Arabidopsis thaliana: one gene and its partners. The protein of the gene in region 3 binds, or shares a complex with, the protein of the main gene of each other region. Each region holds a gene or a part of one and is shown on either strand. Other genes may lie near its edges.

Evidence for each region.
Region 1: AT5G19480 (region 3) and AT2G22370 share a complex: the UniProt entries of both Arabidopsis thaliana proteins name them as parts of the mediator complex.
Region 2: AT5G19480 (region 3) and AT2G10440 share a complex: the UniProt entries of both Arabidopsis thaliana proteins name them as parts of the mediator complex.
Region 4: AT5G19480 (region 3) and AT5G20170 share a complex: the UniProt entries of both Arabidopsis thaliana proteins name them as parts of the mediator complex.

What each region holds. Positions count from the first base shown.
Region 1 is NC_003071.7:9,498,975-9,505,735, forward strand, and holds AT2G22370 (mediator of RNA polymerase II transcription subunit), read right to left. Parts: upstream 3,237-6,761; 5' UTR 3,105-3,236; coding exon 3,063-3,104; intron 2,916-3,062; coding exon 2,816-2,915; intron 2,726-2,815; coding exon 2,668-2,725; intron 2,591-2,667; coding exon 2,234-2,590; intron 2,148-2,233; coding exon 2,045-2,147; 3' UTR 1,810-2,044; downstream 1-1,809. Other genes in the region: AT2G22360 (DNAJ heat shock family protein), read left to right, coding at 1-8, 331-379, 457-540, 646-1,485; AT2G22400 (S-adenosyl-L-methionine-dependent methyltransferases superfamily protein), read right to left, coding at 5,849-6,048, 6,132-6,366, 6,465-6,761. UniProt on the Arabidopsis thaliana protein: Component of the Mediator complex, a coactivator involved in the regulated transcription of nearly all RNA polymerase II-dependent genes.
Region 2 is NC_003071.7:4,011,803-4,021,364, forward strand, and holds AT2G10440 (mediator of RNA polymerase II transcription subunit), read right to left. Parts: upstream 6,245-9,562; coding exon 6,123-6,244; intron 5,786-6,122; coding exon of another isoform or gene 5,759-5,785; intron 5,624-5,758; coding exon 5,521-5,623; intron 5,435-5,520; coding exon of another isoform or gene 5,368-5,434; intron 5,271-5,367; coding exon of another isoform or gene 5,212-5,270; coding exon 5,099-5,211; intron 5,009-5,098; coding exon 4,884-5,008; intron 4,841-4,883; coding exon 4,448-4,840; intron 4,406-4,447; coding exon 4,311-4,405; intron 4,219-4,310; coding exon 4,144-4,218; intron 4,020-4,143; coding exon 3,048-4,019; intron 2,961-3,047; coding exon 2,646-2,960; intron 2,569-2,645; coding exon 2,404-2,568; intron 2,362-2,403; coding exon 2,243-2,361; intron 2,161-2,242; coding exon 1,950-2,160; downstream 1-1,949. Other genes in the region: AT2G10450 (14-3-3 family protein), read left to right, coding at 8,503-8,562, 8,704-8,796, 8,876-8,971. UniProt on the Arabidopsis thaliana protein: Component of the Mediator complex, a coactivator involved in the regulated transcription of nearly all RNA polymerase II-dependent genes.
Region 3 is NC_003076.8:6,567,815-6,575,111, forward strand, and holds AT5G19480 (mediator of RNA polymerase II transcription subunit), read left to right. Parts: upstream 1-3,686; 5' UTR 3,687-4,013; coding exon 4,014-4,041; intron 4,042-4,129; coding exon 4,130-4,422; intron 4,423-4,570; coding exon 4,571-4,774; intron 4,775-4,883; coding exon 4,884-4,943; intron 4,944-5,076; coding exon 5,077-5,115; 3' UTR 5,116-5,809; downstream 5,810-7,297. Other genes in the region: NUDT24 (nudix hydrolase homolog 24), read left to right, coding at 258-373, 468-682; AT5G19473 (RPM1-interacting protein 4 (RIN4) family protein), read left to right, coding at 1,607-1,960, 2,816-2,866; AT5G19485 (transferases/nucleotidyltransferase), read right to left, coding at 6,093-6,158, 6,252-6,368, 6,457-6,561, 6,640-6,732, 6,819-7,070, 7,159-7,246. UniProt on the Arabidopsis thaliana protein: Component of the Mediator complex, a coactivator involved in the regulated transcription of nearly all RNA polymerase II-dependent genes.
Region 4 is NC_003076.8:6,804,220-6,813,096, reverse strand, and holds AT5G20170 (RNA polymerase II transcription mediator), read left to right. Parts: upstream 1-2,177; 5' UTR 2,178-2,367; coding exon 2,368-2,456; intron 2,457-2,544; coding exon 2,545-2,749; intron 2,750-2,909; coding exon 2,910-3,023; intron 3,024-3,227; coding exon 3,228-3,313; intron 3,314-3,804; coding exon 3,805-4,192; intron 4,193-4,274; coding exon 4,275-4,721; intron 4,722-4,830; coding exon 4,831-5,145; intron 5,146-5,225; coding exon 5,226-5,543; 3' UTR 5,544-5,722; downstream 5,723-8,877. Other genes in the region: AT5G20180 (Ribosomal protein L36), read right to left, coding at 1,187-1,343, 1,631-1,785; AT5G20165 (kish-A-like protein), read left to right, coding at 6,367-6,369, 6,459-6,565, 6,663-6,731, 6,846-6,880, 7,074-7,135; AT5G20160 (Ribosomal protein L7Ae/L30e/S12e/Gadd45 family protein), read left to right, coding at 7,995-7,997, 8,118-8,438, 8,765-8,877. UniProt on the Arabidopsis thaliana protein: Component of the Mediator complex, a coactivator involved in the regulated transcription of nearly all RNA polymerase II-dependent genes.

The DNA of each region.
Region 1 (6,761 bases), on a different chromosome or scaffold from region 3:
GTGAACAAGTAAGTGAAAAACTTCACTTGATGACGATAGTGGATGTATATCTTGAGAATAAGAAGATAGGATCGACAGTCAAGTAGAGATAAGAAGCTTAATATCTGTTAGCCAAATGTTAGATATGCCAAAAACAAGATGACTGCAAACCTTGGATTATGTTGTTCCCCAAATTAGGGAAACCAGTTATTTTAAGAACTCATAGCCCTTAGCAAAATACAGACCGGGAAATATGAAATGCTCAGAAACCGCTTTTTTCCTTTCAAGACTGACACTTCTAAGTTAGAAAAGTGTTACCGTCTTGTTTACATGTTTATTATGTGCTTACAGGGATCCTGGCGCAGAAGAGAAATTCAAAGAAATAAGTAACGCATATGAGGTGAAATGAAACCCAGTTTCTCCTTTGTTTCTACTATGCAAGTTCGTACTTTTAGTGACTAAAGAACAAAATTGCAGGTTTTATCAGATGATGAAAAGAAATCTCTTTACGATAGGTATGGTGAGGCCGGACTTAAAGGCGCTGCTGGATTTGGCAATGGGGTACGTTGTTCAAAACACAGATGCACAGATTTATTCTTTATAGACACTCGAAGTTAACTCTCTGATCACTTCTTGGTTTGGTTTTTTGTTATTAAATTTCATTAGGATTTTAGTAATCCGTTCGATCTATTCGACTCATTATTCGAAGGCTTCGGTGGTGGGATGGGTAGAGGTTCAAGAAGCAGAGCTGTGGATGGTCAAGACGAGTATTACACGCTAATCTTAAACTTCAAAGAAGCGGTTTTCGGAATGGAGAAAGAAATAGAGATATCCCGGCTCGAGAGCTGTGGGACATGTGAAGGTTCAGGTGCAAAACCTGGAACCAAACCGACCAAATGCACCACGTGTGGCGGACAAGGCCAAGTGGTTTCAGCAGCTAGAACTCCTCTGGGCGTGTTCCAACAAGTCATGACTTGCTCGTCCTGTAATGGCACTGGAGAGATCTCGACGCCGTGTGGTACTTGCTCTGGAGACGGACGCGTGAGGAAGACAAAACGGATAAGTCTCAAAGTACCAGCCGGGGTTGATTCAGGTAGCCGGTTGAGAGTGAGAGGAGAAGGCAATGCCGGGAAGAGAGGCGGATCACCAGGCGATCTGTTTGTTGTTATAGAAGTTATCCCAGACCCGATTTTGAAACGAGACGATACAAATATTCTCTACACTTGCAAGATATCGTATATCGATGCGATTTTAGGGACGACACTGAAAGTACCAACAGTGGATGGGACAGTAGATTTGAAAGTTCCAGCTGGGACACAACCTAGCACGACGCTTGTGATGGCGAAAAAAGGAGTTCCGGTATTGAACAAGAGTAATATGAGAGGAGATCAGTTGGTGAGAGTACAAGTGGAGATACCTAAGAGATTGAGCAAAGAGGAGAAAAAACTTATTGAAGAGCTTGCTGATATGAGCAAGAACAAGACTGCTAATAGCACCAGTAGATGATTAGAAACACGAAAATTTTGACATTGAAATTATGAATCTCTCTATACATATACATTTTTCTACTCTGGCTTGTGATATTTAGAATGGCTCTTGAAAAAAGAAGAAGCAAGTGGAGGAAGATGATTATTGTTGTGGAAATGGAAGAATTTTAGAATTCATTTTTTTGTGGTTCAAATTTTTAATATGTTAGGTTTTAATAGGCTTTCAAATTGGAATTTATTAGTGATTGAATGATAAATAAAATAGTATGTAATTCCACAAAGACATTCACATTATTTTAATCATGTTCGAAGCTTCATAAACTATCAATCTACTGACAAGTGACAACAATGAAACATCATAATACCAAAAGGTTGAGAGAAGAGCAAAGATCATATGCAAGTTGTGATTTATAAAGAATATTTATTAAAGATCCCTTACTGATTCTCATTAAATAATACTTAACTCTAATGGTTCACAAGATTTCACAACCATTGTGTAATCTGGAAAATTGACTAGATTGGACCAAAAGATCTAACAAGAGAGAACACAAGAACAGTTGTTTTTAACTTCAAACTTCTTACAATGTAGTACCTCCTCCATCCGACATAAGAGATGCAGCCGCCGCAGCAGCGGTTGGCACAACCCCCGTGGAGATAGACGGTTTCGACAAGTGAACAAGCCTGAAAACACAAGGAATCATATCACTGATGAAGCTTATATCAAAGACACTATCACAGGTGCTGTAAAATATATCAGATGAACTTACGGAGCAAGAAATTCACAGAAAGATGAAACAGCAGCAGCGACTTCACTGTAATTCTCAGAAGTTGCAGGAGCAGTTACATCAACAATCTGCATACCAGGTGTTACAGGAACAGCCTCATCTATAGCATGAACTTTAGGCATCTTATTAACAGAAGATACAGAAACACTTATGTGCGCAGTCCGTTGGAAATGAAAGGCGAATCCGACTTTGAGAAGCTCATGGTCTAGTTTGTAACCGAGTGCATAGAACATACGCAAAGCATTCTTGCTTACTTTACTTTCAATCATATTTCTAACCAAAACAGAGATTTGATCAGCTCCTGCACCTCTCATCGCACCACCAACATGTTTAACCGTCCTATGGTTCTTAAATTAGCTTCCTTTGAATGAAACAAGAACATATACAACAACAACAACAACAAGAAGAAGCTGTACCATGTGGGTTCGGGTTGATCAAGATCACATAATAGCCTAACTTCTGATGACACAACTCCTGAAAAAGTGAAGATTTCACAAATGTGAATCATGTATGATTCATAGGAAGCTTCAAGTTTCTGAATTTAACAAAAGGAATTGGCTTTACCAAGATTTGGGCCGCTTCTTAAGCATAACTCATGAACTCTTAAACGTTCGCGTTGAACACCACAAAGACCTTGAAGAAGAATCTCAAGAGCTTCAACATGCTGCAAAATCCAGTAGAAAATCTAATCAAATTCTAATAAAAATTCAAGCCTAGGGTTTATCAATTGGACATCATAAGAAAGCTAAAAGCTGATCCATGAACTCGAAAAACTTGGGATTTGTTCGTCAATCAAAAAATACAAACGAACCTGTGTCTCGATGATTCCTTGAACCACACACTCCATTGACATTGAGCTATCACAAAATCTCTCAATTAAAATCGTAAATATATTCTCAACAAGACCAAATCCGAAATTGGAAAAACTAACGAAAGCTTCCTAAATCGTCCTCGGGAGCGAATCTGAGATTTTTTAACACCGGAGAATTTTAGCTAGTTACTAGAATCACTTGTGTAGTTGTTATATAGTAGTTAGCTGTAGATAAAGCAAGATGGCCTATTAGCTCAGTTGGTTAGAGCGTCGTGCTAATAACGCGAAGGTCACAGGTTCGATCCCTGTATAGGCCATTTCGTTTTTTCTTGTTGCCCCTTTTTTGGGAACTCGATCATAATAAAAACTCTAGTGCATCTCGGTCATTGATTAGTGATCACCAAATAGCCCATTAGCTTAGTTGGCCGCATGATGAGAACATAACCACCGGTTAACCGGAGTAAACCGTCATTAGTTAGGTTGAAGATAGAATTTAGTTTGTGCTATCTTTGCTAAAAAGTTCATGAACCCTAACCTAATTAGTTGGCATTTTAAGAAGTCAACTAGTTTCGATAAAGTTTATGAACATAGCAAATGATATTTATATATGGTTATTTCATCTTGGTTGTGATTACTGTAAATGTCTACTAAGTAGAATGTGTTAATTCCTTATAATTGTTGACAAGAAATATGTAGAAAATTTTGTCAAAATTATTGCGATGTTGTGTAGATTAAGTGGCCACTACATCACCACAATCCTTTAAATTATTAGATAAAAAGTTCAAAAATAAGTCAAATAACCATGTTTACGAAAAGTTTGGAGGAGAATAGGAAAAATGTAAATATATTTATTTTAGCCTCAAACAATTCTTCTCTATTTCAATAGACGAATGAATCCTCAATTTTGCATTAACTAAACCATTTTAGTTTCTTCATTCGTCAATAATATCCTCAAGTGTGTAATCATGTTAATGCTCGTCTAATATACCGGTAACTCAAACCGGCCTCATTTTAACCTACCTCACCAAATTTGTAGAGGTAGCATAATACACGGGCCAAGTTGAATATCCAAGTTGATATTTATGCTTATAATGCATCATTTATGAATTGCCAATTGTCAAATGCCAAGCATGCTTTTGTGGGAAGGCTTATGAATTGTTTACAATGATACAAGATGCAAATGTAAAACCAAATATCATCAGGATATATTAATACAAGAGTCTATGGACTTGTTTCAGAGGATGAAAAATATAAAAACAAAAAGGTGTTCAACAAAAATAGGTCAAGCTTTGGGTTGTATCCAAGTTTATGTATTAGTGATCCGAGCAAGAGAACCTATCAATGCGATACACGTGTAGCAATCATTAATCAAATCCACGTATGACGACTTTGACTACCATACACTCTAGTACTCTCTACCGTAGAGGATTACATTTTAACCCTACGATTAGTTTAATCTCTCAGTCCACCGGAGAGTGTAAAAACAGCGAGAAAATCGACGTCGTTCGATCGCCGACTGCGAGCGAAGAAGAAGATGGCTGAAGAAGAGGTTGACTACGTATTCAAGGTTGTTTTGAACGGAGATTCAGCGGTTGGGAAGTCACAGCTACGAGCTCGGTTCACAAGAGACGAATTCAGTATGGATTCCAAAGCCACAATTCGGTGTCGATTTCAATACTCGAACGCTCGTTATTGACGATAAGAACATCAAAGCTCAGATCTGGGACATCGCAGGCCAGAAACGGTACTATATCCTTCTCCGATCTTAGTTCTATCTTCTCTGATTTAACAATGGATAAAATATTGCTTCGAACTCGATGATGTTACAGTGTTGCTGTTCAATTTCGATTTTGATCTTCGTGTGTACCTGAGAGTGACCTCATTTTGACTAGAGAGTAATCGACTCTTTTAGAAGTTGGACCATTAGTGTTGGAATTGTTCGATTTTGTTCTTCGGCAACATTGTAATGTGTTGTTATAGCATTCTCCTGAAGAATCAAATTATGTAGTGATGATCACATTCACATCCAAGTGGCTAATCATTGTGCATGGCATGTTTTCTCCATTGTACATAGCAATGTGGTTGGTTTGATTAGTGACATTCTTGTTCTTTTGCTGTGAGTAGACACAGAGCTATTACATAAGCCTACTACAAAGGTGCTGTTGGTGCAATGTTAGTTTACGATATGACAATACGTGAAAGCTTTGAGCACATTCCTCAGTGGTTGGAAGAACTACGAGTGCACGCGGATAAGAACATTGTCATCATCTTGATTGGTAACAAGACGGATTTAGAGAACCAGAGATCGGTTCCTGTGGAAGATGCCAAGGAATTTGCAGAGAAGGAAGGGCTTTTTTTCCTTGAGACTTCAGCACTAAACTCCACAAATGTCGAGAACTCTTTCAACACTCTCTTGACTGAGATCTTCAACAAGGTGAACAAGAAGAATCTCGCTAAGACCACCGTGTCTTGCAGCTCACAAGTCAGTCTTCTAAGACCACCGTGTGTTGCAGCTCAATAAGTCAGTCTTCTCGATTTGGTCCATTACAGTTTAGAATAAAATAAACCATTTCATATACTTCAAAAATATTGTTTTGATTTGGTTTTTAGATAGTGAGTTTTGTGTAGTGTACGTTGATTTTTAGAACAAAATCTTTCATTTTTTTTATGTCGTTCCAACAAAAGTCATCATGATTATGCTTATATGAAAAATAATTTGGAGGTAGTAAGGGAATAGTCAAACCACAACAAAGGAGTACAATTTGAAGTTATGAAGAAGGGAGGGCTTAAGTCTCCATAGCTAGTGGACCGTCCGAATCGCCGTTGCTTCCATTTACCGAACCACCTTCTGTTTTTGGTGTTTTCTCGGCAAATCTCTCTAGCAGCTCCTGGCAATCTGCGACAGTGGCCATAACAGCCAAACTAGCCTTCCCTCTCCAGCAACTGATGGCAATTGTTGATGCATCCGCTTTCACCGGTACTTCACCTGAAGCACCAGTAAAACCATATAAATCACATCCTGCATGATCAAATTCAAATGTATATCTATGAAGACCAATCAATACGCACCATCGCTGAGAATCACCACGCAGCTTCCCATAACAAGGTCAGTTGCTTTCTGGGCCAACTGTGGATTGACAAAATCGTGAAACTTGATTGATTTGTCTTGCAGGAGAAGTTTGAAGTCTGCCATTGGAGTATAAAGTACTTGTTTGGTAATGTATGGAAGAATCACAGGTAGTCCCTCGGATGATATACGGAATGGGCACAGCGTGCTTGAACCTTCTTTTGCCGATTGTCTCTCCTGCGTTTCAATTAGTTGCAAATATTCTTAAGTTTCACTTCTGGAGCTTGTGCTTAATCAACCGAAATGATAAGTGGGGAAAAGAATTTTTTACTTACAAACATTTTGAGGCCAACAGAAGCGATCTTAAGCTGCTGCCCGACTGCAAAATTCAACTGAAGAACTTCCTTAACTGATTTTGAAACATAGTAAATCCTCTTAACGCTGCTTGTGTCGGTGTTTCTTGCCACGAGATGACCATGTAATGGAAATGATTCATCTTTGATACCGTAGAATTCCTTGATGCCATTGATTACTGTTTCATCTTTCACGAAAACAACTGGGTCAAAGCCTTTCCACTTCCCTTGCATCGGTACTTTTCTCTTGCCTCCCGCATTACTCGAATTGGCCTCTTT
Region 2 (9,562 bases), on a different chromosome or scaffold from region 3:
CTGTCTGAGAAGGAGGACTCTCTAGGATGTCTTTACCTTTTGCAGAGTAAGAGTGCCTTAAGGCCATGATGAGACTTGGGCAGAATGACTTGGGAGAGATGATGGGAGACGGTTCTTCAGAGTTTTTAAAAAGTTTCGAGAGGGTTCTTCACTTAGAGGTGAGAGTTATCTTCCCCAGTAAGAGAACTGTATGCTGCTAAGCCATAGAGCATGACATACAGGCTGGTTCAAATGCTAAAAAAGGTTCCAAGAGAGTTCAACGAGGTTAAGATATTGTTAGAAGCTGGACAGAAGGTTTAACCATACCGTGAGAAGAGAGAATACGGTTGTTGGAGTCTTCTTCCAGAGCTTCAAGGTTGAGAAACATGCTCTAGCGGGAGGGCCGAAGTGAGGTTTGAGTCCTCTGGAGTCATGTTGAGTTGATAGTCCAACCGCCCATGCCTGGTGGCATGGTAAGAGAAGTTTCCTCGGCGAGAAAGAGCAAAGAAAGGTCACCGGAGTTGTAAAATTGCCTTGTATAGGAAGTAAAAGTGGGTGAGATCTGGTTTTTCAAAAACTCTTTACTGCTTTGGGGTCACTCGGGAAGAGTGCCTAAGAGAGAAATCTCGCTAGAGTATTTTTGTTTTCTTCTTTCGTTGATGTATGGTTTTCTCTGGTTATAAATGGTTAACAGTATAGTTAACCGAATAAACCCAAAAATATGGGTTAATAAATGTTGAAGTATCAATTCAGGGAGTTTAGATAGAGATCTTTTGATTCATGGAGAAATAGATATAAAACTTTTTTTAGAAAAAGAGAAAAAATGTACAGACCTTCTAAAGACTATAAAGTTGTGCTATTATTTGGGATGCGAGAAAAAAAAATAGGAATCTACAGCATGATTGTTTCAATTTTGAGGCTATAGCTTTTTATTTTGCTTTATAAATCTCTTATCATGTCATGTAAATCAATAGGATACTTTCGAGAGCTTTTTTTTTTTTTCTTTTTTTTTTCTCTTACCCTTCTCGTTTCTTTAGAAACGATCATGCTCTAATCCAAATCGGATATTAATTTCAGTTTTTTTTTTTTTCTGTTTAATTAGGTTTATAAATTTTGCTTCGACGATATCAATAATTTTGATTTCGGACAAGACTTTTGATACCACTTTTATCAAGTTCTCTCTTGCCTTGCGAGTTTAGATCTCCATCTATTGGTGATTGTTGATGTCTTTGGTTTCTTCACAAATCCTCTATGTTCCCACCAATTAGTTCGACGAGTAATATCTATACCACTTCTTTATGCACACACATGAACAAAGATCCGGCCACATCAATATGGGTGTCGTCAGAGGTGGAGCTTCCCCGACGATAATGATACTTGAAGAATTTTTAAGCGACTTCCATCACTTGATCCGAAAGAATATCGACGATTTTTGGACATGGGTTCGAGATCGACAGAAGGAAAGACGATTCTCAACATTTTGGTGAATTCTAGCGGTTTCCCGCGAATTCAACAGCGGTGCTTGACGTCTCGGCCCGTGTCATAGGGCAAAACACTTCATCAACACGTTTCATCAGCAAAATCTTTATGAGTGGATGTTTAAATTACTAAGGATGATTTAGTTTTATAGGCTTGGCTTCATTTTCTGTAATCCTTTTTTAAAACTTATATTCCAACCTTTTGGGCTCTATAAATGAAACATGTAATAAGAAAAAACAATAAAATACTTTAAAATCTTTTTTAAAAAAAAGGCTTTGTGCCTAAATATTTCAAGATAATTTATTATACTATCGGTTTTGAAACAATTATAATTTCTTGTTAAAATATATACAATAAGAAGACATGAGCCACACCATACAAATAAATGTTACTTCTATCTCAAAGGAAATAAAAAAAAACCTAACTTGGGCTATAAGGCTTCCCACCTAAAAACTATCTTGTACGGTGAGTGAGAAAGGAAGTATTAGTCCTCATGAAGCTCTTAGAACCGTTTCCCAAGCACCATACTTGGAGCTGAAAGTGCCTCCACCATGTCTCTCTGCGTACTCAACCATTGTCGCTCTCGCACAATCATTCCACGTTTGAGCTATTCCTTTCGAAAACCCTGGTTCTGAAAATTCCTTCATGGACAAACTGAACCTTGATCTGGTTCTCGCGGATAGATCCTCATACTTGTGTACACTGAAACATGCAGATATAAATCCTTAAGATCATATATATTTACTCCAATCGTTGTTACTTGATTTCTAAGAAAGATTCATACCTAGTGTCAAAGGAGATTTCCTCGAGAACTATCGGAGAACTATACGGATAATCCATAGGAAATAGTAAGCGTAAAGGTTGAATCTGTGCCTGCATCAAACATTTAGAGACATAAAAAATCTGAGCAGAGTGAGGAAAAAGAAGAAGTTTGAAGTAACTTACAATTTTTCCAGACTTGTAATGATCTTTGAATGTGGCACTGAGAGCCACAGGAGCATAAGTACAAGTGACGATTGTTCCTAAAGAATCTTCATCACATATCTCTACCACTGTCTCTACAAGTCTCCCATTTGTTTCTTTGATTTCTTGCAAAAGGGCATAACCAGGCTACAAGATTGAAAAAATGGATTTATTTCGATGTTTCATTTGTTTTCGTAGTTCGATACCAATAGAGTAGATTTTACCGCAATATTGTTAACTTTCAAGCCAGATGATGTTGTGGAAACAACTTCAGATTCAAGGCTACTCAACTGTTCATAACTATCAATTTGTGATGACATATCTGGCGGCACAATGTTGATTGATCGCTTCATTCTCTTAGACAGATTTGTTTCTTCGTGTGTGGTAAAGTTTCTTGTCCTCTCACTCAAATCCTCGCCTAAACCAGCTCTAGATCCTCCACTAGAAGGGAACGATCCTCCAATCATGTCAACCATACTAATCACCGAGCTAATCTCACTTACAGATTCTGCCAATGATTTTGGTGATGCTGCTTGAAACTAGAAAGCCACACACATTAAAAATTAGGTCAGTAAATAGGAGAAGGTAAAGAAAGTAAACTTAGATAAGCTATAGAGTTTACTTACCGCTTTTATAAGTCGATCAATAGGCCGCTCTGTGATTGGCTCGGGCGGAGGAACAAATAACAGAGGAGTTTCTTGTGTGCCAAGTTTACTAGAAGAATCTAAAGTTGAGTTTATTTCATCAACACCAGAAACTGGAGACTCAACAGATATAGGCATTTCAGAATCTCCAGGAACTGGAGATGGAGCTGGAGCAACAAAAGCCGAACCACTAGAGTTCAATGGGGTTCCGGTTTTGTTAATCGTCGCAGGAAGAATATGCTGGTCAACTAACTGAGGAGAAGAGTGGTTCTGTATCTGAGAGGATGAAACGTTAGACTCTTGCTTTGGAACCTGGCGCTGACTCGATGAGACTTGTTGCTCAAGCAACCTGGCTTTAATGTTGACCCTCTCCCTCATCCTCACATCATTCATCTCATTTGTCTGCATTTGATGTTGATGATTCCCTTGTTGTGGTTGTTGTTGTTGCATTTGTCGGTGATGGAATCGCTTCTGCTTCTGCAACGACTGAACCGAACTGATATTTGTGTTTACGGCCCGAGGATTTTGTTTAACAGAAGGTAACATGACATTTCCTGAGGAAGCCATAATGATGTTCTCGTCTCTTGGATCCAACTTAGGCCTTATTTGCAACAAAGACGAGGCCTCATTTTGGCTACTTGGCATCAACCGTGATCTCCTTTGCTCCTTATAAAGAGACTGTGACACATGGACTTGAGGACTTTGGGTTTGCATTGCTGTTTGAGAAGGAGGAAATTGTCCTTGTTGTTGCTGCGTTGGCCTCAAAACCATGGTCTGACTCTTGGTAAATTTCAATATGTGGTACTCATATTGACTAAACTTGTCTCTATGTTTCTCTGATACACTGCTCCTATGAACATTTAAGAAAAACATAAGGTGTTCCATTGACAATTTTCCCGCCTTTAGCTTTTCAATCCACTGAGCTTGCATCGGTTGCGGCGGAAGAGATTCAGTCTGGAAACATTAGGTTTATTAAACCAAAAACAACACAAAGTTTTAGAAAAAAAAATGATTAAGAAAACCATTAGAACAAATTCTTGTTCCACAAGCAAAACAATTAGGTTATAAAATAAAGTACCTCCCGCAATTTTTCCGCAACTCTTTGGTGCATTAAACTGAGAACAGGTAAACACATCTCTTTCAGTTTTTTTATCTGCAGGACATATCAGAATGGGAATCAATTGAAAACAAAATCAAACCCTAATTGTGATGTTAAGAAGTGAAGAGCAAAGCAAGTGAAGATACCTTCTGATAGGTCTCCTCCTGCCAGTTTCCGGCATTGACATTTACCGTCTTTCCCGTAGAATCTTGAGATGCTACAATGATATTCATTATTAGAACTAAAAACATTATCACAAGAGTTAGTAAGAGAGGAAACATACTAGATGGATTTGCTCTCTCTAATTGTTGTGGCTGGTTCTGTTGATCTGTTATGTTTTGTGTTTGGCGCAACGAACTTGCTGCTTGAAATTGATTGGTATTGTTTTGTACAAAATCCAAATGTTTCTGTAAGTTTCTGTTCTGAGGATCCTGCTGCATGGGGTATTGTTGTCGGTATTGTTGTGACATCATTGGTTGAGATTGTCCTACTTGTTGACCTCTAGTCATACTTTGGAGGTTATTCTTCTGTTGAGACATTGCATGTAAGGTAACATTATTGTTCTGCTGAGACGAGGATACCTGAAAAGCTCCTTGTTGGTCTCTATTGTTTGGTCGTGATGTTGGAAGATTCGTCAGTTGATTAATGAGTTGCTCTTGTTCTTGTCGTTTCTGTTCTTGAGACGGCAGAACCATCTGTTGTTGATGACTAAAACTGACCCGTTGTATCGAAAACTGATTTCTGGTCAGTGATTGAGTGTTTTGTTAGCTTGATTGAGGAAAAGGCTGTTGAATAGGTTGTTTCAACAAACTTTGCGGATGATGTTGCGGCTGCGGTGACCGAGCTTGTTGTTGCATGTGCGAAGGTCGTAAATTACCATGGCGGATTTGATTCATTTGAGGCTGTTGCTGCTGAGGAAGAAGTTGTTGCCTACCATGTATCTGTCTTTGAGAACCGGGAACGGTTATAGGGACCTGACTTGGCAAAGCAGATGACACAGAGATTGCTCTGTGTGTTTTGCTGTAACCATTGTTGGCTCGTTGTAGTCTGCATATATGGCAACAAGGCGGGAAGAGATTGAGCTTGATTCACAACTACTTGAGAAGCTGATGTTTAGATAAACACATAGAAAAAAAAAGTTAGTTAGTGATTTCTTTGTTATTAAGCTAAAATAGTATAATTATGAAACCAAAAACTTATTACCTAGAACTCTAGTGTAAGTTCTCTGTATATAATGCAGTGTTTCACTGAGTTTCCTAAGGTAATCATTCTGAAACATAGCAAGGGGACAATGAGTAAGATATCAAATTCAGATTCTGAAGTTAATAGATGGAGAAACAATTTGTAGTTTAACACCTTATCGGTTGCTATGCTATAAAAATTTTCTTCAAATTTGGAAGCGATGTCGTTAATCTTATATTCTTCATGTGCATGAAACTTTTCCTTGAACTTTTCAACTCTACACATACATGAGAACAAAATATCAGTGACTATGAAGAATTTGGTTATAACTGATATTCAAGAGGAAGTGATACCATTTTAATTGCACTAAAAATACAAAACAGAGAAAATAATCCGTAGTTAATATTCGAACTTACGATAATCGTTTAGCGAACAAACACTGAAACAATTATACATATGTGCCAAGCAATTGTACATAGAAGCGAGAGTAAAACAAGATTCTCCTAGTGAGGAAGAGCCTAAATGCAGGTAATGAGGTTAAAAGAATATGCAAAACTTAAAGTACAAAAGGTTGAAGTTAGGTTTTGTCAACTATGATAAACATTTATGCACAACTCTTATGCTTTAACTGTTGCAATCTTTATCATGCGCAAACTACAAATATCACATCGAAAGCATGACCAAGAAAACCTTACTCTCTTTCATGAATGTTAATAATCAAATAAGAACAATGAGTCCAACAAAAGAAACATGAAACTCTTGAAAGAATGGCTTACATTTTTGAAAGAACCTTTTGCCGTAATTCAGGCTCATGTTGTGATCTCCAATCAATACGATTATTCGCAGCATCACGGTTTCCGCCTTGTTCATTAGGCTTCCAGTTAGTATTTCCCTCCATTAAGTTATGCGTCCTAACGGGGAGATGTATGTATAGGCTTTGACCAAGAACCGCCTCGCTAAACCTTAACAAACAAACAAAAGAATGATTAGAGAAATTACTCAACATGGTAACACAAAACAGATAAATATATAGTACAAGAAAACGACAAAAGAGTATTCAAAAATCAATATGCATATCACGCTAACAACCTATCGCATAATATCACACAACACGTATTATAATATTTGTTGGTGCAGGAATTAGCACCTCCGACAATACTAATTTAAACCGAGGAATAATGTGAATAAAATCGAGAATTCGATTGAACCGGGGTATCCCGGTTAGCCTGTTAATGGGCCTAAGTCATGAGATCGCCCGAAGACTTAAGTCGACAATCAAGATCGCCATAACCAACTTCTTAGGTCGTGTAAAGGGAAAACTTCCATTTAAGAGAAGAGGATCTCATGAAGAATAGAAGTAATGAAGATTTAAACCTAAGATAATTAGAAGTTTATCATATTTTGGTATATTCGACCTATTGTATAAATAGAGGGGTCAAACCCCCCATTGAGATCATCTTTAACCTAATACAAGAGACTACTATTACAGAGCAAACCCTAGCTTTTTGTTTAAGCAACCTAGTTCTTTTCCTTTGATTATTTGTGAGCTAAGAGAGGAGTGAATTTGTCTAAATCCCTTAGTACAAATTCATTGTTTGATTACTGAATCAACAATATTTAATATATAATCCTAACATTTTAACAATCAGCACCCAATGTCTAATCTTATACAAATGAAATTCAGAAATACAAAAGTAAAGGTGATACTATGTTTCCACAGATCCTACCCTCACCTTGGCAACTCGGTTGGATTTTAAGAAATAGGACTAGCAACAATGGATCCGGCTCAACAACGATCTCAAACTACAACAATTTAGATTAATCAATCAAGATTATATTCCCTTAATAATTTGTTATTTAATCTAATAACTAAACCAAGTCTAATAATTTAATATTAGTTGCTTAACACGTAATTGACTACGCCACATCCATTTACGTGACCAAATACTCCCCGGTTTAATAATTAAACCAACGCCACAATTCAAATCACGTACATGTCAATGCTACTTCTGGTTTGACAATTAACCCAACGCTTTCTAATAAGCCAATAACTGACTATATCGTCTTCTTCACTAACACAACCCAACTGACGCCATAACCGATCAACTCAAAAGGTTCCTTAATAATCAAGTTTCAATTCATGGCCGTAACTATACGTAATCCCTTGGTTTAGGTTGGTTCAATAATTAAACAACACAACACCTTAACATGAATACGAGAATAAGGTTTCACCGTTATCTCACTCTGCAACGAAGAAGTAGAGGATTCGGTATCACAGACCCAAACAAAGCACCAATGATAGATCTAGATTCCGGTGAAGAAGGAGGACGAAGAAGGCTAATAGTGGCTCAGATGGTGATGATTAGGGTTGGATGTTACGTGACGATAACTTCACGTCACCACTTAACACGATCGGGACCACAACCACAAACTACAACGATGGTGAACTCGATAGTGGAGGATGATGGTGACTTGAGAGTTGAGATCAAATTTCTATGATTTTGATAAGGTTAACATTGCGTGCTCGTAACATAAGCGGCGAGAGGAAGAAGACATTATATACATACGTACACACTTCTCACGTTTAGGTCTTGTTTTTAATGAAGATGGGCTTAATGAGAAATTGGGTCTTAGCTTTACCTCCTTTCGCCGTCTCCAGTCACGCCGAGACAGCTCCCTTTCATGCTTCTTCCGCCAGAATCCATCGCCGGATACATCTCGAAGATTGAATCAGAGTATTAAGGTAATTCACGACTATGAATCTTCTGGATTAGCGTCAGTGTATTGTTTATATCGATGTTTGCGACTATTTTTGGTTTAAGTTACTGGATTGGTGGTTTTTGAAGAAGCATCAATGTTTATAGGTTTCAGTTGTTTCAAGAACCATTGGATTCATTACTAGTAGTCTATGGTTTCATGATCAAGTAATTGTTGAAACATCGTAAATATCAAGTTTGTAGTAATTGTTCGAACTATCTATGTGAATTGTAGTTTTTTCTGTGTAGTTTACCTTGAGATTATCCACTGCTCTATACCTTGAAATTGAAATAGGCTTCACACTGAAGTTATAAGGACTTGGGGTACAAGAGTCGTTGGTTTGACTCTCCTTGTGATTGGTGCTATGAGAATCAAAGAAGCTTCTGAGATCCCATAACCATGTGTTGTTACTTTGCCACTAGGATTGTTTACGGCCTGCAACCGGAGGCTCTGATGATGGTACATATTTTGTCACCTGAAGACGTTACTAGTAATTATGTTCTTTGTGCTGCTTTTATTCATTAATTGCTTAAACTAAATGTTGTCGTTGCAAGATCTTTGTTCTTGTATGTTGGACAATGCCAATGTGCTATCGCTGAGTTGGATGCATTGGGTGATGAATTATACAAGGACAGTACCCTGATTATGAAGATTCTTAGAGACAATCTCACTTTCTGGACTTCAGATATGACTGTAAGCATCAACACAATATACATTGATCATTGTTCACTAAGTTCTGTAATTGACATGATTATAACTCTTTGGTCAATAGGACGAAGCAGGAGATGAGATCAAGGAGGCAGAACCAAAGGTCTTGTGCAAATGTCATTCTTGTTTCACTGTCTTGTCGGAACCAAAGCATAGTTAATTCATATTCTAGTACTCTCTTGATTAATAATAATTGGAAATGTATTATAGCGAGTAAAAGTAAACATGTGCAACCAAGAGTTGTTTCTTTTTGTGAATATGTTTTGTAAAACCATGTATTGTAACCAAACAAAAAGGATGTATGTATTGTTTTACAAAATTTGAATTTTTTTCTTAGAGAACCCCATTAGTGGTTTTAACCATTGGAGGACAAAAAACTTCAGAGCTCTTATGCAAGTTTTTAAGATTGAAAAAAGCTAATTTTATTCTTATAAAATGCAGAGAACCCATCATGGGGTTGTAACCATTGGAGATTCTCTTACAAATCATATATAGTCTTTTCTTTATTAAAATCGAATCACTATAAGCTTTTAGGAAACGTCAAATTGTCACTAATACTCGGCCCATTGTTGGGAATAAATCTGTATAAGTTTAGAATTGGGCTTGGCAATAGTCAAACGGCAATTCCAATTGTCCTTTTTTTCCTCTCGCACGAGTGTATTGATTTTTTTTTAACATATGAATTTATTATTTACTAGATATTGATAATTTCTTTAAAAAGTTAATTTTTTTAATTAATATTATTTATATA
Region 3 (7,297 bases):
TCAGTATATTGCAACAACCTTTTACTATGATTTGAACTAAAAACTTCATAAAAAATTCGCTTAAAAATCAAGATAGTTATGACTTAATAGTTTAAATAAAATTTGGTCCCAGCTGGTCAAAAAGTTTTTGGGGTGGATGCCACATTATTTGATTCACCCAAGTGTATGTGTACATTCTGCTCAGTATTTAACAAAGTAGTACCTATATAGCTCTCTTGATATTTTCCAACCTCTTGCATTTTTGTGTATTCTTAAAGGGCGATTGCGGTCGGTGTTGTTTCCTACATGGATATCGATCGGTACTGTTTCACACGTGATGTGCTGTTTTGTTATGATTTGGAACTCCCTCAAGATTTTGTTCCCACAAATCAAGGTTAGGCAATAACTAGTAAAGCAATCAGTAATCTTGCTCAGATAGACAGGTAGATATACTTTGTCATAGCATAGTAATCTTAATTACATTGCAGATGGAGAAGTTGACAGCTTCAGGTTGATTCCAGTCGCTCAAGTTGCTAATGTGGTTCGGAAGACTAGTTTTTTTAAGGACAGTTGTTCCCTGGTCATTATTGACTTCTTGTTTCGGCACGGGTACTCACTCTTTTCTCCCAAAATTTCTACCTCAGAAGAAACATGTTACTTACCATTATATATTGCGGGACTTTTATGCTCTCGCCGCGGATAGTAACATCCTTATGAGCAATCTCCAATTCCCTTTGGCAATACATTCTGTTCCATTTTGTCTATGCAGGTTAATCAGACCAGAGTCACCGGGTTACTTGGATCTATACCGACGCCTGAGGAATGGAGATTGCTCATAAGGACGTTACTTTCTATCTAATGTTTTAAAGAAAAAGCTCACTCTCTAATAAATTAATATTAGATACTCTGACTATGTAATAAGACTCATGCATGTATATAATATTCAGAGTCTTCATGTGCCTTCATGAACATATATATACCAATCAAGGAAGTTATAAAACTTCATTTATACAAATGAGCAAAACAAGTTCACAATTTAATTGTTCTCTTCAAACAGAGTTATTGATTTTTAGCATCAGAAAGCTAATCCAATTGTGTGAAGCAAACACTAATTATTTTCATCGTTATCCATTCGAATTCTTGTAACGATATGATGAAAGTACACTAAGATTGACATTTCAACCTCAACAACTTTCTACTTGCTTAGAAGTCTTCATGACCCCTAACAGCCTTTTCCAATAGGATGCCAAAAGTTAGTATTAAAAAATCCCCCGGACATAAAGGAACACCATTGCTTGAGATCCTCCAAGTTTAGAAACCTCCTAAATCTGCTCCTATGAAATCGTGATTTCAAACAATTTGTACTATAAAGGAAAAAGTGGAATTTTACAAGAGAGATCGTTCTCCTCCTCGTCATGAACACCTTCATCAATGTTTAAGAACATCTTTCTTCTAAACCAAGCAATATCTATTTATGGATAAAAGAAGGGAGGCATGCTCTCTAATTTTTTTATAAAATCTTGTTTCTTTTCTTTTATCCAACTATTACTAAATCATCGATCTTTATGATGTCTGAGTTACAATCGAGACATGTTGAGCTTTCATCGGTTAATGCGCGTTTTATAGAATGGGGAAAATTAACCGATGCAATCTCAACATCGATCTCATTGTTCTTTTTTTTTTTTCCGGAAATATTTGGTTCCCTAAGCAAATTATATGTTTATCTAACGAGTTTTATTCTTGGATACAGAATGCTGCATGGACTCCAGTTCCACAGTTCGGAGGGTGGGACCAAAAAGGACCAAATGATGCTACAAACTACTCGGTTGTCTTTTCTAAAGCTCGCGCAAACAGGAAGCAGAACAAAGCTGGTGTAAGACATTCTAGTTTGGGAAGCGAACAAGAACTCATGGTAAGTGTTCGTCGCAACCACCAACAACTTCACCATCGCCATGAAACTCAAGACGATGACCCTGTCATGGTAATTAAATTATCTCTCTCTACTTACTCTTCCATGGATTCTTTGGTTCATATTCACCTTGTGATGATCCTTTTCCCCTTAGTCAACGCGCATGGATCATCACAAGGTGGTATAACAATTCAGGAATTGATTTTCTCTTTGCGTCTTTTGTTTGTTTTGTGTTTTTGCATGCGCCTAAAAAGAATATTTCATTCCATTTCTTTCTTAACTCAGAGACATAATTGAACCATGAATGTTATTCAACTTAATTATGAGTTAATACATGCATCATAGTATCAGGTCTCATTTATGAATATGTAATGATAGTGTATCTTTAAATTTGATGTTATAGTGTATTGGCTTGCAGTTTGTTTCCATGGTTTTGAAATGATGTGTTTTGTTCGAACAATGAATTTATAGTTCGTTTCCATTTTCCCATTTTCTACTTTCTTTTTATTTGTTAGGAAAACTTTGTTTTTTTTTTTGCATTTTTTCCATAACATTTCAATAAGCAACCATATTTTAACATTATATTCCCACCTAAGCTAAATTTCATTACTTCTATTGTTAGATAAAAATATAATTAAACCAACTAAAAGTCTGAATCATATTATAATCTTTGCATTATGTTTTAACTATATGTTGGGAGTTACATAAATTTGTTTTGCTTGGAGCCTCCAAACTTTGAAGAGGCAAACATGAACGAAATGTACACTGCTTTTCTAGAGCGAATATGAAAACTCCATCTCTAGTTTGTATAACAGTCGAAATCACCTTGTTATACGAAGCATTATGCAATATGTGAAATGTATTAAGAGGAAGCATGTTGTCACCGTCATAAGTCTCTCTAACATTACTAATTTAATTACCATGCAGAAGAAGAAGAGGATCTTGACCTACATTAATTGTTGTATAAGGCCAAACTAGGGCTTTGTTCTTCTACAAAGTCGGAATCTTTCTCTCTTCAGCGATATAGCAAATATGTCTCAAGTGTGTAAAGACAGTAGTGTAACGTTTCTGTAATCTTCTTTATCACACACAAAAAAAAAAAACGTTCTGTTCTATGTGCATCATCTATTAAGATACCCCTGGTTGTGTTGTGTTGTGATACATTTTGACTTCTTCCTACATCATACGAGAACAAAATAAAACATGACTTAACCAAACCGTCAGATGCAGAATCCATTTAACTAATCTTCGATAAATTGAGAATTGTCGGATGATCATAGTTTTAGAAACAAGAGTTAAGAAATCATGCATTGATTGCTGGTACGATTTGGCCATTTGGGTGATTTTAGCTTTGGTTAATCATTCTCCAACTTCAATATAAAGGATCCGAACAATAGCAATGACTAAACGAATCACTTTTTGGCCTTAGCAAATTGGTCTTAATTATTTGGCCACAAATACACATACATATGACCATATGAAAAACAGTGGCTATCTTGCAACTGAGTGCCACCACCTAATCGTGGCCATATCCACTAACAAGTTGACCACCGTCTTAATCGGTGGCTATTGACGATTGCAACAAAAATTATTTGACGGCTATATTAGCATTTTTTTTTTTTTTTAACTATGTGATTAAAAATGCAAATTATAAGAAAATTGAAATTTTTATTAAAATAAAAATACAAATGTAAAAAAAGTCGTTGTGAAATCTGTAAAGTTGATCATACGCACTATGAAGCGCGTGAACCCCACGCGGTAACCCGTATAAATAACAAAATTTTGGACGAAAAAAAAACAGAAGAAGAAGAAAAAGAAATCGCGATTTTATAACGCCATTGTTTGAGGAAACTCCTAATCCATTCTCAAACCCTAGTTACTTCCTTCTCGAACGTTCCTCGATATTCCCGCGGGAAATTCACGACCAAGAGCAATCCGTTTTCCAGATTAGGGTTTATATCTCTGGGTTGCGATGAGATCTGCCTCGTGAAGTCATGTATGGCGGTGATTGATCTTTGCTTCAGCTTTGTTTTCGCTTTTCGTCAAATCTTGAGCTTATTGAGCTTTGGCTTGTTTGGTTTTCAAATTCCAATAATTGCAGTTTAATCAACAACAACAAAAAAATATGGAATCAGAGAGCGTTAAGTTTGGAGGTAAATTTGGTTTCCAAGCTTTGATTTTTGTCAAGTTTTATTATTTTGGGATTTGAGGGTCAATGAGCTTCTGGGTTTCTAAGTGCAGGTCCTAGAGAATTGGGTGGTGCACTAGATCTTATAACACAATACAAGTTGTTGCCACACCATGAATTCTTTTGCAAGAGATCACTTCCAGAGTCACTGTCAGATGCTCATTATCTTCATAATTTGGTTGGAGACACAGAGATTAGAAAAGGAGAAGGAATGCAATTAGATCAGCTTATTCCTAATGCATCACTTAGTAGCCGAGATACGAATGCTCGCATCCAACCTTTTGTTCTTGATGAACTTAAGGAGGCTTTTGAGCTTAATGATACAGCTCCTGTTGAATTGCCTCCAGTAAGAATATTGCTCTCTCTGTTTAGATTTTAACTTCCTGTAACATCTAGATCTTTTACTAACCATGATAAGTTGAATTACTTCCAAGTATCTTGTGATGATAGTTGAGCTAGGTTTGAGAATATGAGATCTCCTGTTCTTATTTCAGGCAGAGAAGGGAGCTCCTACCACTGTATCAAAATCAAAAAGTGAGTCAAAAGATAAGGATAGGAAACATAGAAAACATAAAGACAAGAAGGAGAAAGATAGGGAACATAAGAAGCACAAGCACAAGCATAAAGATAGGATCAAAGATAAGGATAAAGACAAGGATCGAGACAAAAAGAAGGAAAAAAGTGGACACCATGATAAGGTTATAAAACTGTCTGCTCTTGTTGGTACCTAGGCCGTCTATATATGTATATTTTGGATTCTTAAATTCGATAGAATTGACGTGGTATACGCTATCACTTTACTTTCAGAAAAGGAAGAACAATGGGACTGAAGATGCTGATGACGTTCAGAGGCACAAAAAGAGTAAGGTAATATACTAATGGCAATGGAGGCATCTCCTTCTTTTTAGTGAAGCTGAATTTAGAAGTTTCTGGTTACTCGCACATTGGTGTTGCTCTGCAAATTTTATTTTTGTCGGCCCTAAAATTAACTTTTTTGCAGCATAAGAGCTCAAAGCTTGATGAGATGGGAGCGATGTAGGTTGGAGGCTGAAGCCGTGCACACTTTCATTTTTGTATTGCACACCCAAGGTGTCATGGAGAGGCTTAGAAGCAGCTAACTTTGTTAGGTAACTCGGTCACTAGAGTCATCTTCTCATCTTTAGATAACGCACGTTTCTCATATGGGGCTGCGTCTGTCATAACCAACGGTACTGTACATGATGAATATGATTGAGTCAACAAAGCTATGGTTGTTTTAAACATGAAGAAATAATTATTGTCTAAGGCTTATAAGAAGATAACCTGGAACTCTAGCGACCGAGAGTGCACTAACTTTATTTTGGAGTCTCAAATAATTAGAAATGTTTCTATATGGTGTAGATTTGTCTCAACATAACATAAAATGATTTGGATTTGGTTTTGCAGGTTTAATCTCTAAATAAAAATTGCATTGTGGGAGAAGTTAGGAGGGGTTAAGCAACGAAAAGTTCGCCAAGAAGAATCACAACTTGTACATTTTGTTACACTTTAAACAAGCTATGAAGTTTATCTATTCTCGTGACTATTTAAACAGAAAGGTTTCATACATTCGAAATCATTTACTCTGAAATTTATCGAATCTGAAGGCATGTGACTTTTTGGGTGTATTCGTCTCTATGGAAATACCAAAAACAAAATTTAGATCTTTCAGGAAAGTGTTTTATCTCGAACAAAAGAGTAAATAATGAGAAGAACAAAAAAAGACATATGTAATATAACCAACGGAACAGAGAGAAGGGTCAGTGGCTGACAAAGTGTTTCAAGACTTCATGTATATGTAATGAATAGCAAAAGATCAAACTCTATCAGTAAAAGATACTAACGGAAAATCTCAAACTCTTAATCAACAAAACCCTTAGTGGGAAACTTTCCAATCCTTCACACTCTTCTCTCCTACCAAACGAATGACTAAGTAATGCTGCTTTTCATTTTAAAAAAGCGTTCCAAGATGTGACCTCATTTGCTTATCCTTCCTTTTCATTTTCTAGCAAAGGTCTCTCCTTTGTGCTCACTCCCGGCACAAACAACATACCCTGCTTCCACCTATAAAACCAATTGATGTTTTGATTATGGAATCTGTAAAAGCATTGATACGTAGGGGACACTGTATTATGAAAACTGAAGGGGGTAACGTACTTGGCAGTCTCTTAGAGTAACACGCTCTTGAAGCTGTGCGTTGCTGCAAATGACTGAGCCTTGTATTGAACATCCGTCTCCAATTGTGGCATGGTCCATCACAACTGAATTAACAATCTGCACCCACATATACAAGCAGTTGAGTGTCTTTTCGAGATGTACACCACCTTTCTTTGGCTGGCTTGAGTAAAAAGCTAATTATTACCTTCACATTGGAGCCTATCCGGCAATGTCTCCCAATTACAGATCTTTTGACACTGCATTTATCACCGACTTGAGAGCCTTCTCCAAGCATACAATGAGGTCCAACCTGCAACCCAAAAATTGTTATTCACGATCACAACTCACAGAACAAATGCTCAATATCTACACATGTAGAGTTACGTACTGTGGTTTTCGATCCAAGCTCAGCTGATGGGTGGACAATGTTGTGATGAGCAGAAAAGGAGTATCCAGATAGGTGGTTTGATTCACCAATAACCTGCACAAGTTTGAACAATTGCGGAGCTTCATAAGTCAACTGAGAAAAAAATACTGGAGAAGGAATCCCATGTGTAAACAACTTACATCTCTGTTTACGTCCATGAAGGCTTGAATGCTATTCAAGCGGACGAAATACTTACTTTCATCCGCTATATAAACACAGCATTTATGGGTTTTCCGGGTACCCAGACCTGATTCATAGACTTGATGAAAGCTTGGCATGGATGCGTTGGAGAGAATTTGAGACAAGACCACCTCGTTGTTCTGCATATTATTTTTTCCATTTCCATTCCCATTTTCTTCTACATTACTTTGGTCAGAGAAGACATCTGATCTCTGATACTCAAGGGGAAACCGCACAAATAAGGAATCAAAATGGTAATAAAAAAAAAATGGTCATTTGCAAGGACCGTATCCGACTAACCAGCTGTGTACGAACAAGATACGGTAGTACATCCTGTTTTAGGCTCCTAAAAGCAGGTTTTTGATCCAAAACTTCCTGCAGAACTGCTCTGTAAGACAAAAGAACATATTGAGTATCGACAGATAAAACTACTTTGATA
Region 4 (8,877 bases), 240 kb from region 3:
ATACTACACCATCATCTATACATCTTTGTGTACTAAAAAACCAAACTAAATTTCAGGACAATTTATTGATAAAAGTTCTACTATCATTCTTAAATTTATACTATTATAAATCCGAAACTACCAAATTCAAATTAAAAGTTCGATACTGAAACTAAAAATTGCAAGAAGACAATTAACTGAAAACTTTAAAGTTAGAATTCAACCAAACACATTAATCAGACGACAAGTGAACAACTCAATTATTCAAGAACAACCGTGACCAATACGTCATATAGTCCAAGTAAACAAATGATATATATATTAAGATCATGTTAATTTTCATTGGCAAGGAATCCTGAACCTTTGAGAAATTATCCTTTCTGAATTTTATATATTGAGTAGATTAATTATCCCTTTCGTATTTTTTGTTTCCTGTGAAAGAAACACAATTATGATGGTTATCTCTCGAGATCAATTGGTTAAAATTGCAGCTCAAAAATGGAAATTACGAAAGAGTATGACAATTATTGGTGAGGTGATTTTTTTGGAATGAAGCTGTTAACGATTTGACTGAGGGAAAACTACAACAAAAAGTAATAAAGAAGGCTTGTTATGTCCAAAAGTAGTACTGTCCAGAAGCGGGGCCCATGGGATATGCCTATCAGAGTGGGCTTCCTGTGACCTCTCACACCACCACGTAGGACCTACGAGCCGAGTGCTCAACGGTGGAGAAAGAGAAGGGTCGTTGTCGTTGAGAAGTCTCCGTCTCTCCAGTTTCATTGTATTTGATTCGCATTTAGTGGGTGTGCTTTGTGCAGCCTCATTTTGGAATAGTGAAATTTGACTATAAACATGCGCAAATGAGCCACAACATATTTCAAACTACTTGGTACGCGGTCAATACAAATTCAACCACAATTTGCTCATTTCCTTGGCATGTAATCGATGTGGATATCACTAACCAGAGTTTTCTAAAAGAAAAACATATTGATCCCTAACATATGCTCCAGTGGAAAATGTAAAAACAAATACTCGAGTGTCATAATATATCTCTTTGTTCAGGTCATGCGAGGCACAATCAAACAGGTCTCGAAGGAGCATACGACTGACCAAAGTAAAAGTGGAGAGATATACAATAATGTTTCATAGGAATTGGAAGAAAACTGCGATTACAAATCTGAAGAATAAAAAGGGAAATGCTGACATCCTAATTTCCTTGTTTGAAGAGAATGGATGCAAGACCAGACCTCCATCCGAAATACGCTGTTGGCATAGGCCTTTTGTGTAAAAGTGATGCCAGTCCGGCTGATACCCCCTGACCAGGCAGCCTCACCAACTCCTGACTAGCAATCGGCTCAGCAAACCTGTTTTACAATCCCAAATAACTTTTTAAGTAAGTTACTCTCAACTCTGCGAAGGAAAACAAGTGCACATGCTTCATGCTTCTGTGTGATGTTCCACTATAATGTATTTTAGTAACTGTTCAACAGACTCTAAATAGATCCTCACTTTTCATTCAATGATTCTATAGGACAAAATTTGGGTAGTAAGTGATTCACAGTAGTCAATATACACTGTATTTAACCCGTCCAAAATCCGAATGAGACACCTAATTACTCAAAAGCGAAAACCAGATACAAGATTCACTTACAAAGGGGAAGGTGTAATTCCTTCATAAGCAAAGGAACTGAACCCTTGTCTTTGCTTGTGCTTAGGATTGGAAGAGCATATAACATACACACGTCCACGACGTTTCACTGTTTTACAAAACTCACACATCTTCTTCACAGATGATCTCACCTTCATTGCTTCTCACTCTGCAATTCACAACCGATCATTAACACAAAACTCATTAGATGAAAATGAAAGAGAACTCTTCAAAGTATTCAACTTTAAGATTCAAAACTAAGGATTGTATCCTCTAAACATATCATTTCTACTTAATCTACCAGAAAAACTGCAATCCTTAGTTGATCCGATGATGGAAGCAAAAGTAAAACGAATCTGAAGCATCCATCTCTAACTACACGGAATCACACAAGAGAAAACCCTATAATAGATCCAGATACGAAATCGAGTGATAATCAACGAGAACCCATCAAGCGAAGAACAAAAAAATACCTGCGAATTCAAAGGCGACTACGAAGAAGAGCAATCGATTCCCAAATGCAAATGAAAGGGTTTTACGGAGGAGTTTTGCACAGTCAGAGTACAACATATTTTGGGCTTTTAATGGGCTTTACCCGTAAAAATGATCCGGAATTTTTTTGACCCGGATTATTAGATCTAAATATCCGATTTGGAGCGTTGAAGCGATTTGGCCGGACTGTGTTACCGTCGACCTAGAAAATCTGAATTTTTGACCGGGAAGATTTTTTTCTGTACGATATGGATAGCGACATGGAAATCTCTCTCGACAGGCTTCCCATTAAACGATTGGAATCTATCGAAGAAAATGGCGCCGAGCGTTTTCCTTCGTAAGTGTTGTCTGGTGTTTGAGAAACGAGACAAAATCTTCCCAGATTGTTTTGCTTCTAAATTATTCCTTTTGTTTTTGACGTGTAGTGATGTTGATTACGATGATAAGAGAGTATCGCTGATTCGGAGAATAGACTTCGCGTGGGCGTTGGAAGAGGAAGATGAGCTGAAGAAGAAGAAGCAGAAGAAAAGCTCCAAGGATAGCGTGGAGCAATGGAAATGGAAGGGAATGGTTGAGAATTTGCAATTGGCTCATCAGGAGCTCACTGTCATCATTGACCTTATCGACACAGTGAGTGACTCTTGTTGATAATAGATAAGAATTTTGGGATATTCATAGCTCTTACAGTGTCTGTTTTATTGGTTTGAATGGAAGGAGCTGAAGTTTGGTTTCTGATATTTGAATAGAGAGTAAAACTTAAACAATTTATCTTCTGATTTTATCTTTGAAGGTCCAAGCAAATGATGCAGTAACAGTTGCTGGGATGACCAGACCTAAGCCGATGCCGAATGAGATTCTCTCGGATCTTGCTGTGTCTACTGCTACCAAGCTGCAGGGCTACCGGGTAATCAGTAGCTTACTTTCTTATGTGCAATTTAACTTTGCTTAAAGATGGAAGGATTCTTGTAATTGTTATTAGTTAGGCACTTTTTAGTATCCTGAGAAACTGTTGGAAACATTAACTTGGTTTCGTAAAGAGCTTTTTAACTATATAATTGTCTTTGGATGGTATGCTTATCTCACTTCTGAATATCTGTTTCCTCTGCAGAATTTAGGAAACTACTTTAAACAATCAGCAAAAGCTTTAGAGCAGAAAATCAATCGTGAAGCAAGGTTTTATGGTGCTCTTATCAGGTTCGAGTACTTGCTTTTCATTTAATGTCAGTGGCTATTTTCCTTAGTACTATTTTGCAACTTTTAAGAATTTGTTGTTTGCATTCTTGATACTAGTTTTAGGTAGCTTACAATGTCATAGCTATTTGTGTTGTGCACAGATAATTAGCGTCCGAATTTTGGATGTAGAGTTATTACGCACGTAGGTTTTGTAATATGTTATGACTTATGACTGATAAACGTGAAAGCATTTTATTATTCTTGTCTAATGTGAAAAAGTTCTAAATTTTGACTTCTACACCGTCTCTGTTACTGAACCTGCATAGTACAGTACTTCAGGAACATCCATTTTGTTGTGTAGTGACTGCTTAAGATTATGCCAACACAAATTAGAGAATTTCCGTTGAAATTGCTCATAATTTGTATAAAATGATAAGCTGACTTCAGCTTCCAAAATAGAGATTGATTTATACGTGCAAATGGTTATTTTTGCTATACTAACAAGCTTATAGGTTGCAGCGGAACTGGAAAGTCAAGCGACAACGCATGCTTGCTTCAAATGCCAGCAATGAGGGCTTCACCATTGATCTTTCTGACAGTTCATTATATGATCCGACTTCTGGTTTTCGCCCATCTACACTGTCCACTATTCGTGTAGATCATGATTCAGCTGGTATGCTGGCCATTAATGTACCCCAAGATTCATGGTACTCTCTTCGGTTTGGGTATGTTGGCTTAAATCCGATTGGCAACTCAAACGAATCTGATGAGCACATAGACTCGACTACTGGTCACGATATCCCTGGAACATCAGAGAAGTTGTCTGCAAGTGACGACAAATATGTTAAAGAAACTCATTCGCTACTGAGGGAGGTGCATAAATCAATTTTTGCTGAGCAGGTGGTATTTTTGTCATATATCTTGTAGTACGCTTGGTATATCTCTTCACGACTATTTCTCACTTCTTTGGTCTTCTTACCAGTTGTTTGACATGCTAAATCGTGAAGCATTCAATGAAGGTGTGGGATTCAACATAAGTGGACTACGAGAAAATTTTATGGAAATGAGCATCGGCCAAGGAGCTTCTCTGTTTGTGTCTCTCCACCCATCAGGCAAAAATCCCAGCATCAAGAAGTCGGAATCTGCAACCTTGCTCATTGAATCATCTGGCAGAGTAGAACCAGCAGAAGGAGGAGACTATCGCTTGAAGAAGCTAGGGTTCCCTAATCGCACCAGCTATGAAATATACTTGCAACAAATTTTTCACGAGCATGCCTTTGGAAAAGCTAAAGATCAGCTCAAGTCAAAAAGTATCAGAGCATCCAATCAAACAGAAAAGGACAGCAACTCCGGACTTCTTGACCATTTCTGCTTATCTTTGACTCATAGAATCTTCTCAAATAGAGTTCTTGTGCATCTTGAAAGCGTGGTATTTTCCCTGATGTGCTAAACTTTATTGAATGATCCTTCTCTATCAAGAAACTTGTTGTCATCTTTGATCATGCTTTAAAAAAAATGGTTACTTCCTCATTGAACAGGTCTGCAAGGTCCCGTATCTTCATCTGATATCTCATCCTACATGGAATTCTCGGACATCGTCATGGACTGTCTTCATGACTGTTCCTCCATCAATCATCCCCCAAGGAAGGTCTGAAACCCAGTCTCCTGATGGTAAGAGGAATCTTAAGACGCAGTTCCGGACAAAAGTGGTGGTGAAGGATGATTGTATTAGTGTTGAAGCGGAATGCACGCCCAATGTGGTTGGCTTACTCAAAAGCAGTTCCTGCAATCTATTCTCTATAAACAAATACGAGTGCGACGTGGCCGACCTTCCCGTGATGATTCTCCAACAGGTATGTTCTTTCGTTTCCTAAAGTTGATCATGTCTATAGCAACACGGTCCCTTAAACACGCGGTTTATTTATTTGAGAAGGTGGCGAGCCAGATAGTGTGTTGGCTACTGGAGGAAGCACGGACGGTAGGGACAAAAGCGAGCAGGGAATTTCTGTCACTATCGTTAGAGATAGTGGAAGGGGAGAGAGTGAGCCTGGTGGCGCATGTAAACCCGGAAGACGCAAAAGGATGCATCTCGTGGTGGCTAGTGATGGAGAATGGATGCACAGAGGAGAGGGAAGGAGTGTCGGAGAGTAGGAAGTTGTTGGGTCATTTGTCTCTGGATGTCTTGTACTCTGTTCTCATGGATTTGATCAACTTGTGTGGTACTGGTCGCAATGCTTTAGAGAGATTGTAAATGCTGAAAGACAAGTAGTGAACATGTTTAGTTCTTCAAGATTTGTAGATTACAATGGTTTAGTGAGACTCTAGTGTCTAGCCCAAACATCACTTTTTTGAATAGTTGGAAATGTGGATTTTATGGATTAAGGATTGATGATTATTATAAAACATCTTTATTTCAAATAATATTATCAATTTTTCTTTTTTAAAAAATCTTTGAAATCATAATGACTTTAGTACTTAAAGGAAGAAAGGGGTAGAATTGGAAATATGTAGAGAAAACGAGAATAACTCTGACGCGAACGTTTCTCTCCTCCGTCTCTCGATCCCTCTCTTGACGTCTCGCTGATCTGTTTTGCTAAGATTCAAGCTTCAAAACCCTAATTTCTCTAGCCATTAGCATCGATTTCAGCTCAACTTCAGGTTTGCTGTTCCCTTTTTTTGTATCATCCCATCCACCGATCGATATTTCTCAATTTTCTGATTTGCTGCTCTCTCGAGAGAGAGTCACCGTTATGGAGTTGGATTCACTATATGATCTGATAATTATGAAATTCACAGATGCTTCTATATATAGTAAATCTGATTTATTAGTGACGAATAGATGAACATATTCCCTTGATTATTCTTCTACAAATCTCGGTAGTGATAAATTGTTAGGTTTTGACGATAATTGTACTTGCTCAGTTTTTCATGTGTTTAGTTATGATTCTTCTTGGGCATGTCTGTGTCTTCGAATCGATTCTCATGTGATTCCCATTATTGTTTTTTTTCTTCTGGTTATTTCAGATTCAAGGAAACAATTATTAGCTTCTCAAGTGCTTCAGTGATCCGATACAATGGTAGTTATTGCCTTCTCTGTTCCATTGTTAAATTTTGTTAATTTCAGTGATTTTGAGCTAAGAGTTTTGTTTATCTTTGATAAATTCAGTCAGCTTTGTTCAATTTCCATTCGTTTCTGACGGTGGTGCTGCTTGTGATCTGCACATGCACATATCTGAAGATGCAGTTCCCTGCCATTTTAGAGCAGAAAACTGGGTTTGTACCTTCTTTGTTCTCCTTTTTCGTGAATTTTATTCTCAAAACCGATAACACTAACACATTTGGAGCTTTGACACCGGTTATTGTTTTCAAGCATTGTCTTTTGCCAAATTAAAGATGCTTTGTCAGATTTCTCTGCATATTGTTACTTTAGATTGCAAATGTTACTTCATCCTAGTGCTTTTTTTGTATTTATAGCTTGCATCTAATGCCCTCAGTCATCACTTTGTTCTATGCATATTAATGATAGAAATTGCTTGATTAATTACTATTGCAGGTTTCGAGGATTTTTCTGGAAGGCTGCTAGAATAGGTAGGCCTTTTCACCCCTTTGGAGCTCAGTTATCTCTTGTGATTTCAAAACCTTTCTAAAAACATTGTGTTGAACAATATTTCTTTGCATGTGTTCTATAGAAAGTAGTGATAGGCTTTCTAGGAGCAAGAACTCGTTACTAATCAATGCAGCTACTAACAATTGTACTATAAATTCAACTCATGAATACCAGATTCTAATGCTTTAAAACCCATGGTCGATCTCCTATTTAAGCATATGCATGATGGCATATAGTTAAGTCTATATCCTCCTACTTTTACTGCCATTTGTTTTCCATCGCCGAACATTCTGTTGCTTAACTTTGCTTTGTCATCACTTGTACCAGGTGAGCGTTTGAGCCCTTGGGTCTCCGCTGGATGCTTCATGATGGGTGTGTCGATCATTTTCTTTTGAGTGTCAACTTCTTACATATCCAGTTCTTGTAGATTTTTACTTCTTTGGGATGCTCATTTTTCTGTATGCAAAAGATTCCAAGGGGTTGTTGATGAAACTGAAAGAGTAGAATATTATCCTCTTTGGATTATGGATATGGTCTTGTATTTGGAACAAATTGTGTCTGTTATTTTAATGTGGAGACAAGTCCATAAAGCTCAACCATAGAAATTAGTAGAGCATAAGACACCAGAACCAGCTAATAAAACGCATCTTTGTCGTAAAGGAAGAGAGTAATCACATACGTAACTTCAAGTTTACTAATTTCATTGAACTAATGAGAGCATCAGTTAATAAAAGTTTGTTGTGTGTGTGGTAGCTGTAAAATTATCAGTCAATTTGGATAATCGATCAGTTTTATGCGAGCAAAAAGAACAAAGGTGAAGTCATGGTTACCCTTTTGGGCTTTAATCAAAATTTCGCCGACAAAAGAAGAAACTAAAAAACCAAACTCCCAAAGTCAAAACTAGTTCTGTCGGTTAAGGTTAGTTCACATGGGCCGAAGTATATCATCACCCAGGCCCATTAAAAAGATGTATAAAATCGACAAGCATATAAGTAACAGCGTAAGCCTAAGTTATCATTCAGAATATTCAAGCTGAGAAAGTCGTAGCCTCTAAAACCCTAATCCTCTCTGAAACCCTAGACATCGCAGCTGAAAATGGTACTTCTCTCTTCCTCTTTCTTCTTTTCGGTATTATCTTGCAGTGTTTTCGAAGGAATCTTACTCTTTGATTGTCTGATTTGGGTTTTAATTTGTTTTTGTTTTCGTTTCTTCTTGCAGACCGGAGAAGTCGTCAACCCTAAAGCGTATCCGCTTGCAGATTCTCAGTTATCGATAACAATTCTTGACCTCGTTCAACAAGCTACTAACTACAAGCAGCTCAAGAAGGGTGCTAATGAAGGTATCCGCTTGTTACTCATGTGTGTTTGTCTCTCTTATTTATTGAGTTTAATGTTTGTGAAGTTGTTCCTGATTTATTTAAATTTGTTCATTTCAGCTACGAAGACTCTTAATCGTGGAATCTCCGAGTTTGTTGTCATGGCTGCAGATGCTGAGCCTCTAGAGATTCTTCTTCATCTTCCCCTACTTGCTGAGGATAAGGTTTGACTTCTTCTTTCTCTGGGTTTCTCTTTTATTATACACCAGTTTATTTAGCAAATGAGATATTTGTTTCCTTAGTTCATAGAAGAGAATTAAGTTTACTTGCTGAGGATATAGTTTGATTAGTTTGTGCCAATGTTCAGCCAAGTTTTGTATATCATTTTGTTAACTAAACTCTGATTTCATACTTGTTGGAGTTTAAAATGACAGCTTTATGATTGTCTTTTATGATTTTGTTTAGCTTGTATGTTTTTGATTCTGTAATGCTTTGTTGTTCTTATATACTAGTTTTCTATATTCTTACTTTCTTTGTGAATGTTTTGTAGAATGTTCCTTATGTCTTTGTGCCTTCAAAGCAAGCCTTGGGAAGAGCCTGTGGTGTGACTAGACCTGTTATCGCTTGTTCAGTCACATCTAACGAAGCTAGTCAATTGAAATC